Linked DNA regions of Oryctolagus cuniculus. The protein of the gene in region 2 interacts with the protein of the main gene of each other region in a pairwise test. Links are inferred from orthologs where the notes say so. Each region holds a gene or a part of one and is shown on either strand. Other genes may lie near its edges.

What was found. The genes of interacting proteins can lie anywhere in the genome.
Region 1: the proteins of TECR (region 2) and HACD2 interact in binary tests that used the Homo sapiens proteins (3 or more experiments, as listed by UniProt). The link is inferred for Oryctolagus cuniculus from reciprocal best matches to the Homo sapiens genes TECR and HACD2.

What each region holds. Positions count from the first base shown.
Region 1 is NC_091435.1:79,737,014-79,740,711, forward strand, and holds part of HACD2 (very-long-chain (3R)-3-hydroxyacyl-CoA dehydratase 2), read right to left. Parts: intron 3,688-3,698; coding exon 3,570-3,687; intron 1-3,569. UniProt on the Homo sapiens protein: Catalyzes the third of the very long-chain fatty acids (VLCFA) elongation four-step cycle (condensation, reduction, dehydration, and reduction).
Region 2 is NC_091447.1:63,163,764-63,168,166, forward strand, and holds the start of TECR (very-long-chain enoyl-CoA reductase), read left to right. Parts: upstream 1-1,474; 5' UTR 1,475-2,121; coding exon 2,122-2,301; intron 2,302-2,653; coding exon 2,654-2,705; intron 2,706-2,846; coding exon 2,847-2,891; intron 2,892-2,977; coding exon 2,978-3,081; intron 3,082-3,163; coding exon 3,164-3,279; intron 3,280-3,363; coding exon 3,364-3,469; intron 3,470-3,546; coding exon 3,547-3,619; intron 3,620-3,701; coding exon 3,702-3,745; intron 3,746-3,826; coding exon 3,827-3,884; intron 3,885-3,968; coding exon 3,969-4,057; intron 4,058-4,164; coding exon 4,165-4,210; intron 4,211-4,294; coding exon 4,295-4,403. UniProt on the Homo sapiens protein: Involved in both the production of very long-chain fatty acids for sphingolipid synthesis and the degradation of the sphingosine moiety in sphingolipids through the sphingosine 1-phosphate metabolic pathway.

The DNA.
Region 1 (3,698 bases), on a different chromosome or scaffold from region 2:
GGGACAGGGAGTAAGACCTTGTTTCCAACCACCTGTTCTCTTACTTGCAGGAGTGACAGTCAGGACTTTGACCATTATTATCTGCCCAGTGCACTAAGAAACTGAGAAAACTAGCTTCCAGGAGAAAGTAGCAGAGAGCAGAGATGAGAGATGGAGCCAGAACTCCTGAGCCCCCTGTGGTCCTCCAGTCCAGGTTCAAGGCCATTCCTGTACTCCACGGGAAGTCCTATATGCTTCTTTACAGCCTTCTTGATGGGTAAGTTAGTTGAGGCTTCTGCCATCTCTGGTCAACAGCTCTAATGTAATCATCCAGCCAGGGAGCTCTCCCACTCCCTGTCAGCAATGGCTCAACCTCCACAGCACCCTTCGTTAGCCAAATATGTATGTGGGAACTTCAAAAAGTTCATGGAAAATGGAATTTAAGCTAAGTTTGTTTGGTAAAACAAAACTGAAAGCCAGAACATTTTGAAGTACCTCTATACTTATTTAAAATATTACCTGTGGGATAACTTGGAAAATTAACTATCAAAAATACTCAACACATTCTTGGATGAATATGCAGAGAAAAAAATACCAGGAATTATGACCATTTTATAAAAAGCTAGTGCTGTGGCCTAATAGGCTAGGCCTCCACCTGTGGCGCCGACATCCCATATGGGTGCTGGTTCGAGTCCCAGCTGCTCTACTTCCGATCCAGCTCTCTGCTATAGCCTGGGAAAGCAGTAGAAGATGGCCCAAGTGCTTGGGCCCCTGCACCCAGGTGGAAGACCCAGAAAAAGCTCCTGCCTCCTGATAAGCCCAGCTCCAGCTGTTACAGCCATTTGAGGAGTGAACGAGCAGATGGAAGATCTTTCCCTCTGCCTCTCTCTCTCTCTCTCTCTGTAACTCTGCCTCTCAAATAAATAAAATCTTAAAAAAAAAAAGCCATGTGATCTTATCATCAACTCAACATATCTTTGTACCCATACACATTTTGCAAAAACTCATTTCGTCTCCTCAGACAGTAGGCATCTTCTTGTTTTATACTACTACATGTCCATTTGCATTTGCTTAAGACTTTCTCAGTCGTTTATAAAGCAAAGTGTTATGTTTTCCTAAGAAGATGTGAAGTTTGATATGAGTGATTTCTACTTTCTTTTTAAGCAAATTCTGTAGCTGATGCCCTGCCTTCGTTTTCTCCTCCTGTAAACAGGATATACTGTCAGGCACCATGCATTCACACCACCACAAGTATCTAATTCTGACCCGATGTACACTGGGGGGCTGGGGTGGGCAGGGGACAGACTCCTTGACCTGCTGCACAGGAAGCAGTTTCAGCAACCTTGCACTACCGCGGTCTGAGGGATTCCTGCTGCCATGGACCCATGTTGTGCTCATTCCCTGCATGGGTCTGGAGTCTTCGCTTCCTTATACACAGCTCTCTTCCCAAAATCAAATCCAGGATTTGTCACCTAATTGCTTCTTAGTAGGGATGAGATAAAACCAAAAATCCAAAAATAGTTTCTTAAATCCCTATTAAAAATCCGATAGGGAAAAACAGTATAATCTCTCAAAGTCTAAGACTTGCTTCCTGAATGGATTTTGTCTCCCACTGTTTAATGCCCCTACCTTCCTTGAGATGTACTTAATTTTTTTTTAAATCATACTTCCAACATTACAAAGTCATAAAAGGATAGAGTCTCCTGGGGCTGGTGCTGTGGCACAGTGGGTTAAGCCTCCACCTGCAGTGCTGGTGGAGTACTTTATAAAAAGCCAGTTCTGTGGCCTAGTAGGCTAGGCCTCCACCTGTGGCGCTGACATACCATATGAGTACTGGTTCGAGTCCCAGGTGCTATACTTCCAATGCAGCTCCCTGCTAATGGCCTGGGAAAGCAGTGGAAGATGGCCCAAGTGCTTGGGGCCCTGCACCCATGTGGGAGTCCTGGAAGAAGCTCCTGGCTTTGGATCAGCCCAGCTCTGGCCATTGCAGCTATTTGGGAGTGAACCAGTGATGATCTCTCTCTCTCTCTTTCTCTCTCCTTCTCTCTGTATCTCTGCCATTCAAATAAAAAATAAATAAATCTTTTAAAAAGTAAAAAGACAGAATCTCCTTTAAATCATGGAAGTGTTCCCACTGGGCACAAATATTGTGCAGCTTCTGAGGGTCTGACCCAAGCGGCTCCTCTGCAGCTCGAGGCAACTGTGTCGGCCAAGGCGCTGAGACACCAGGTGCTAGCAGTCACCCTGCCCCCACTAAAGAAAGCCAAGCTCTGAGATTAACAAATGGCTCCACCAGGATTTGCTGCCATTTCTTAGACTCAGACTGTTAGGTCAGGAGGAGACTTTGCACATCAACTTTAACCTACTGAAGGTGGCTTCACAGAGTAAGCTGATTAGAAACAGCACACTCGCAATGAGGGTACTCGGAGTCTGAGCTGGAAGTGGGTGTCATCACGCCACCTCCTAAATGCCGACCGACAGCACGAAAATCCCTCTGCATTCTAAGAGAAAACAAAAAACCCCAAACTATACCTTTTTGCTTTTGAAAGTGAAGGTGCGCAGTAGTGGCGTCGTATCTTACTTAATGGAGGTAAACAGTTTGTTAACAATGACTCCATAGTTCAGGCTCTAAAAGTTGCGCCTGAGGTATAAACATGAGGGAGGGCCAAGTGGAGGGAAACTGCAGCCCAGCCCCTCCTGCACCCTGAGGATCACCACCCCACGGCGCCAGGGGTGCCCCAAACTGCCACCCCTCCCCTCCTAGAGTCTCCTGGCCAGAAGAGGGACATGCGCCCCACGCCTCAGCAACTAGGTACCTCGCATCATCAGCAAGAGTCTAAGTAGGGCCAACCTGAACCCTTCCCTGGAACTGCCTGTGACACTAGGGGCTGAGGGACACGGACTTGGCACCTGCTTCCTGCCCCAGGGAGAAAGCCCTTTGCGGCAGCAGAGCCCAAGGCCAGCATTCAGAGGGAAGCAGGAGAGCTGCATGGTTTGAGTGTGGCAATATCAAACCCCGGGTTCTCATTCTTTTGCTGCTTCTTGGACACTGTAAATTCATCCTGTATCTTTATCAACCACAAAGCGAGTGTGTGCCTCTTTTGCATAAAATCATATGAATTGGGTTTCTGCCCTATACTTACCCCAGGAGAGAGAACCAGATATACATTGTCCTTAATAAGGAAAATCACAGAACTTGTTGAAACAAATTCTTTTTTATAATTTGGATGCCCACGTCTCACTCCTAATGTCCTACAGCTATCAGCTGTGCTTCCTCCACTGGGTAGCCCCTCAGGGATCTGCGTTTACCAACACTTCCCTAGGACAGCCCTAGAATGTTTTTAAATTCCACTATAGCCTTGCTTCATTTGTTTTCCAATAAAAGTTGAATCTGAAATATATTCCAAGTAACACAAATGGAATTTTCCCTTAATTGGAAATTTTAAAAAAGTCATTATAATATGCTATGAGACAAAAATTAAAATTTAAAGCCAATCCAACAGAGCTATGGCTACTTCCATATAATTTAGTAGCACGTTGTTTACCTTATGACAATTGAATCAGCAACAATAACAAGTCTCAGGACCTACCTCCAATAAGGCTCCAGTTTGGAAGAATTTCAAAGGCTTTTCAATGGAGTAATAAAGGCTGTGGTAGCTCCCCTTAGCCAGGTACGCTCGGACCAGACCAACCGCTATAACCAGCCACCTGATAAACGA
Region 2 (4,403 bases):
TCCTGCCGCGGCCAGCAGTGTCTTCACGGCACAGTGGGCGGAGTGGGCCCTGCTCCTCAGCGGGGGCTCTGGGCCCCTCATATGGGGTGGGCTTCAGCCCCGCCAGGCCACGCCCTGACCCTGTGCCCCCACCAGTGGCTGCTGGCTGGGCCCTGGAATTTCGGGCCTTTGGGTGAGAATTCCTTGCAGGCTGGTGGCGCTGTCACCGCAGAGCCGCGCCAGGCCCCTGCCCTCGCCCTTGTCCCGCGCCTGTGGGGCCACACCCCTGCCTGTGGCCCCCCTTCACCTGCCGGCCACAGCCCCTTCCCCCTGCCCTCGCTGTGATTTGCCCCTCCCCCCACAGGTCTGGGGCCTGCGTGTGCAGCAGTGGGGGGCCCCAGGGTCGGGAAGGCCCGGGCCGGGGGTCTCTCCTAGGAGGCCCTGGGACCTTGGCATTCTCTGTGATGGCTTCCTGGGGCCTGGGGCACTGCTGCTGCCCTGGCAGAGCCCCGGCCGGCGGCGCGTGCGTGGCCGGCACCTGCCAGTGCCCACCCCAGGCGCCCCCTATGCCTCTGCCGCCTCCCACGTGGCCCAGCGCAGACTTGACTTTCCTGCTCTAGTTTGAAAGGACAGAAGCACCAGAAACAGGGCCACACGGGGTCCTAGGTGCCCCCCGCCCCTTCTCCTGCTGGGGCCCTGGCCCGGGGGGCACCTCCCATCCCTCTGGCCCCTGGGGTGCTTACCCCTCGGCTGGCCTGGACGCTCCTGCTGCCGCGGCGGTGTGCGCGGCCCCTCTCCCAGCTGCCCTGAGTCCTGCCCCGACGGCCGGGCCCTGGTTCTGCGCCCGGAGCCAGGGCGAGAGGCTTAGGTTTCAGCCCGCCCTGCAGCAGCTGGCCAGGGCAGCCAGAGGGGCTGGTTGTATTTTAAGCTATTGAGTGGTTCAGCAGGAACTCGGAGCCTCCCGGCTCCGTGGACGTGTGCTGCCTTCCCGCGGCGGGGCGGCCAGGGCTCTGAAGGTATGTGTGGGCACTGCCCGCCCCGGGGCCGGGCAGCTATTAATACCACTGTGCCCGCTCTGCGTGCCCCCGCCCTTCCCCACACCCTGGTGTGGGCCTCATGCTCCAACATGGCCACCAGGGCAGGGCAGGACCCAGGGTGGGCCACAGGGGCTCAGCAGGCCTGGGAGCGGCGCACCCACACGTGGAGTGCACAAATCAGTCTCTCTTGGGGCCCCGAGACTGCCCCTTTCTGACAACTGGGGTGGTGGGCCTAGTCCCTGGGGCTCCCTCCCTTCCGGCTCGGGGTCTGGGGAGAATAGAACCTGGGTGAGGGCGTGGTGTTGGACGTTGGGCTGGGTTCAGTGGGACGTGTGCCCTGGATTGAAGGTGGCCTTGAATGAGGTCCCTGGGGAGCAGTGTGGGGGAGGTGGGAGGGTGGGCAGAGGAAGAGAGAGCTGGGGAGCAGAGCCGAAGGCTGAGGCTGTGCCAGCCTGGGGGGGGGGGGCGCTTGCCTGAGCGGCCCTGCTCCTGTGCACAGTGACCCCGGAATCTGTCACCTCCTTGGGAACACGGATGCACAAGGAGAATAATCCCGAATGTCCCTTTGCAACTCAGAAGGGGAAATGCATGAGCCGTCTCATGGATTCTCAAAATAGCTGGAGAGTCTCCAGGCCCAGTGACTGCTCTGGGCCCAAGCTGGGAGCTGGGAGCTGGGAGTGGGGTGCGGGGTGCGGGGGCCTGAGCCGGCTTCACCCTCCTCCTCTGGCCTCTGGCGAGCCCCAGACCCCCCAGCCCTGGGTCTCCTTGTGCACTTGGAAGCCTGTCTGGGGCTCGCAGCGACCCCGGGGTCTGGGGCTTGGCTCCTGGGGGGCTCCCTGGGGCGGTTTTATATTTAGCTGGGCCACACTCTGGTACCACTCGGATTACATCTGGCACAGAGGCCGGCAGTGCTGGGCCGGGGCCGGGGCCGGGGCCTGGCGCGGGCTCCCTTCCAGCACCGCGGCAGAATTTGATCACGCCTGGCCAGGCCCGGCCCAGAGCGGCTGAGCGTGGGGAGGGCGGTGGTGGGGGCTGACGGCCGGCAGCTGGGGCCACTGGCCTGGGCGTGCAGAGCAGGACAGCAGGGCCGTGTGTGGTGGGTGGCATGGACCTCAGCCTGAGCCTGGTGACCCGGGAGCCCAGCCCGAGCCTGGGCCCCAGCCTCAACGGCTTCCCCAGGCCTGCGCCCCCCAAGACGGCCAAGAAACCTAAAAAGGCCGTTCTCTTCTTTGAGGTGGAGATCCTGGACGCCAAGACCAGGGAGAAGCTGTGTTTCCTGGACAAGGTAGGCCGCACCAGCTGCGCCGGCCAAGGGCACAAGGCCTGGGACCTGCTCCGGGGGCGCTGTCCAGCCCTCCTGCTCGTGCCCCACCCCCTGCCCTCCCGAGGGCCCACGAGTGGCGCTGTCCCCACCTGGGGTACGGTGGGCAGCTGTGGCTTCGGGCCTGGGAAGGAGGTGGAGCCTGGGGGGAAGGGGCTGGGAGCCGGGGGGGGGGGGGTGGAGAGGAGACAGAGCCGCCCCCTGGCTTCCCAGCGAGGACCCACAGCTGTCCCCGCCCTGGCAGGCCCCCAGCCCAGCCCCGCCTGGTCTCCAGGCTCTGCTCCCCCAAAGCTGACTCGGTGCGGTGCCTCCGCAGGTGGAGCCCCAGGCTACCATCGCAGAAATCAAGAACCTCTTCACCAAGACCCGTGAGTCAGGGCCCCGCGGTGCTCCCCCGGCGGCCCAGGGAGGCCGGGCTCCGACGCCAAGCTCCTGCGCTGGGCACTCCTTGGCCTGAGGCCAGGCCCCGCAGGCCGCGTCTGAGCTGGCTGTCCCCCTCCCTCCCGCAGACCCGCAGTGGTACCCCGCCCGCCAGTCCCTCCGCCTGGACCCCAGTGAGTACAGCTGTCGCGGGCTTGGGGGGCGGGGGGAGCCGGCCTGGGCCGCCCCTGAGCCCCGGCCGCCCTCCCCCTCCCCGCAGAGGGCAAGTCCCTGAAGGACGAGGACGTGCTGCAGAAGCTGCCCGTGGGCACCACGGCCACGCTGTACTTCCGCGACCTGGGCGCGCAGATCAGCTGGGTGACGGTGAGTGTGCGCCGCGGCCCCGCCCTCCGCCGGGGGGGGGGGGGTGTGCGGGGCGGGGCCACTCACGCGCCGATGCCCGCAGGTCTTCCTGACGGAGTACGCGGGGCCGCTCTTCATCTACCTGCTCTTCTACTTCCGCGTGCCCTTCATCTATGGCCACAAATACGACTTCACGTCCAGCCGGCACACGGTGGTGCAGTGAGTGGGGGCGGGGCGGGGCGCGGCGGGGTGGGGCGGGGCACGGCGGGGGCGCCAGCCGCGCTGAGCCGGCTCCCCCCGCAGCCTCGCCTGCATCTGCCACTCATTCCACTACATCAAGCGCCTGCTGGAGACGCTCTTCGTGCACCGCTTCTCGCACGGCACCATGCCGCTGCGCAACATCTTCAAGGTGGGAGCCCCGCCCGCGTCCGCCCGCCCGCGCCCCCCGGCCCCGCCCCTGGCCCAACCCTGCGCGCTGCCTTGCAGAACTGCACCTACTACTGGGGCTTCGCTGCGTGGATGGCCTACTACATCAACCACCCCCTCTACACGCCACCCAGTAAGTGCCCCGGGCCCGTCCCCGCGCCCCAGCCCCTCCCCCTGGGCTCCCCTCACGACCACCCCACCCTGCTTCCCTGCAGCCTACGGAGCTCAGCAGATCAAGCTGGCGCTCGCCATCTTCGTGGTAAGGAGGCTGGGGGCGGGTGGTGGGTGGTGGGTGGCGGCGGGGGCTGGGGCGCTCGGCCGACCCTGCTGCTCCTGACAGATGTGCCAGCTCGGCAACTTCTCCATCCACATGGCCCTGCGGGACCTGCGGCCGGCCGGTGAGTGGCGGGCGGGGGCGGGGCCGGGCCCGCTCCCCTGAGCCCGGGGGCGGGGTCCGAGTCGCCCTTCCATCCTGCCGCCAGGGTCCAAGACCAGGAAGATCCCGTACCCCACCAAGAACCCCTTCACGTGGCTCTTCCTGCTGGTGTCCTGTCCCAACTACACCTACGAGGTGAGCCCCCCGCCCCGGCTCCCACGCAGCGCAGCGCAGCGGGCGGGGGCTTGGCGGGATCTGGGGACGGGGACCGCGGCCCGCCCTCAGCCGCCATCTCTGCGCAGGTCGGCTCCTGGATCGGCTTCGCCATCATGACCCAGTGTCTCCCAGGTGAGGCCTCGGCCGGCGCCCGGCGGGGAGCCCCCCCCCCCCCCCACGGCCGGGCGGCCCCTGACAGCCCGCTCTGCCCCACAGTGGCCCTCTTCTCCCTGGTGGGCTTCACCCAGATGACCATCTGGGCCAAGGGCAAGCACCGCAGCTACCTGAAGGAGTTCCGCGACTACCCGCCTCTGCGCATGCCCAT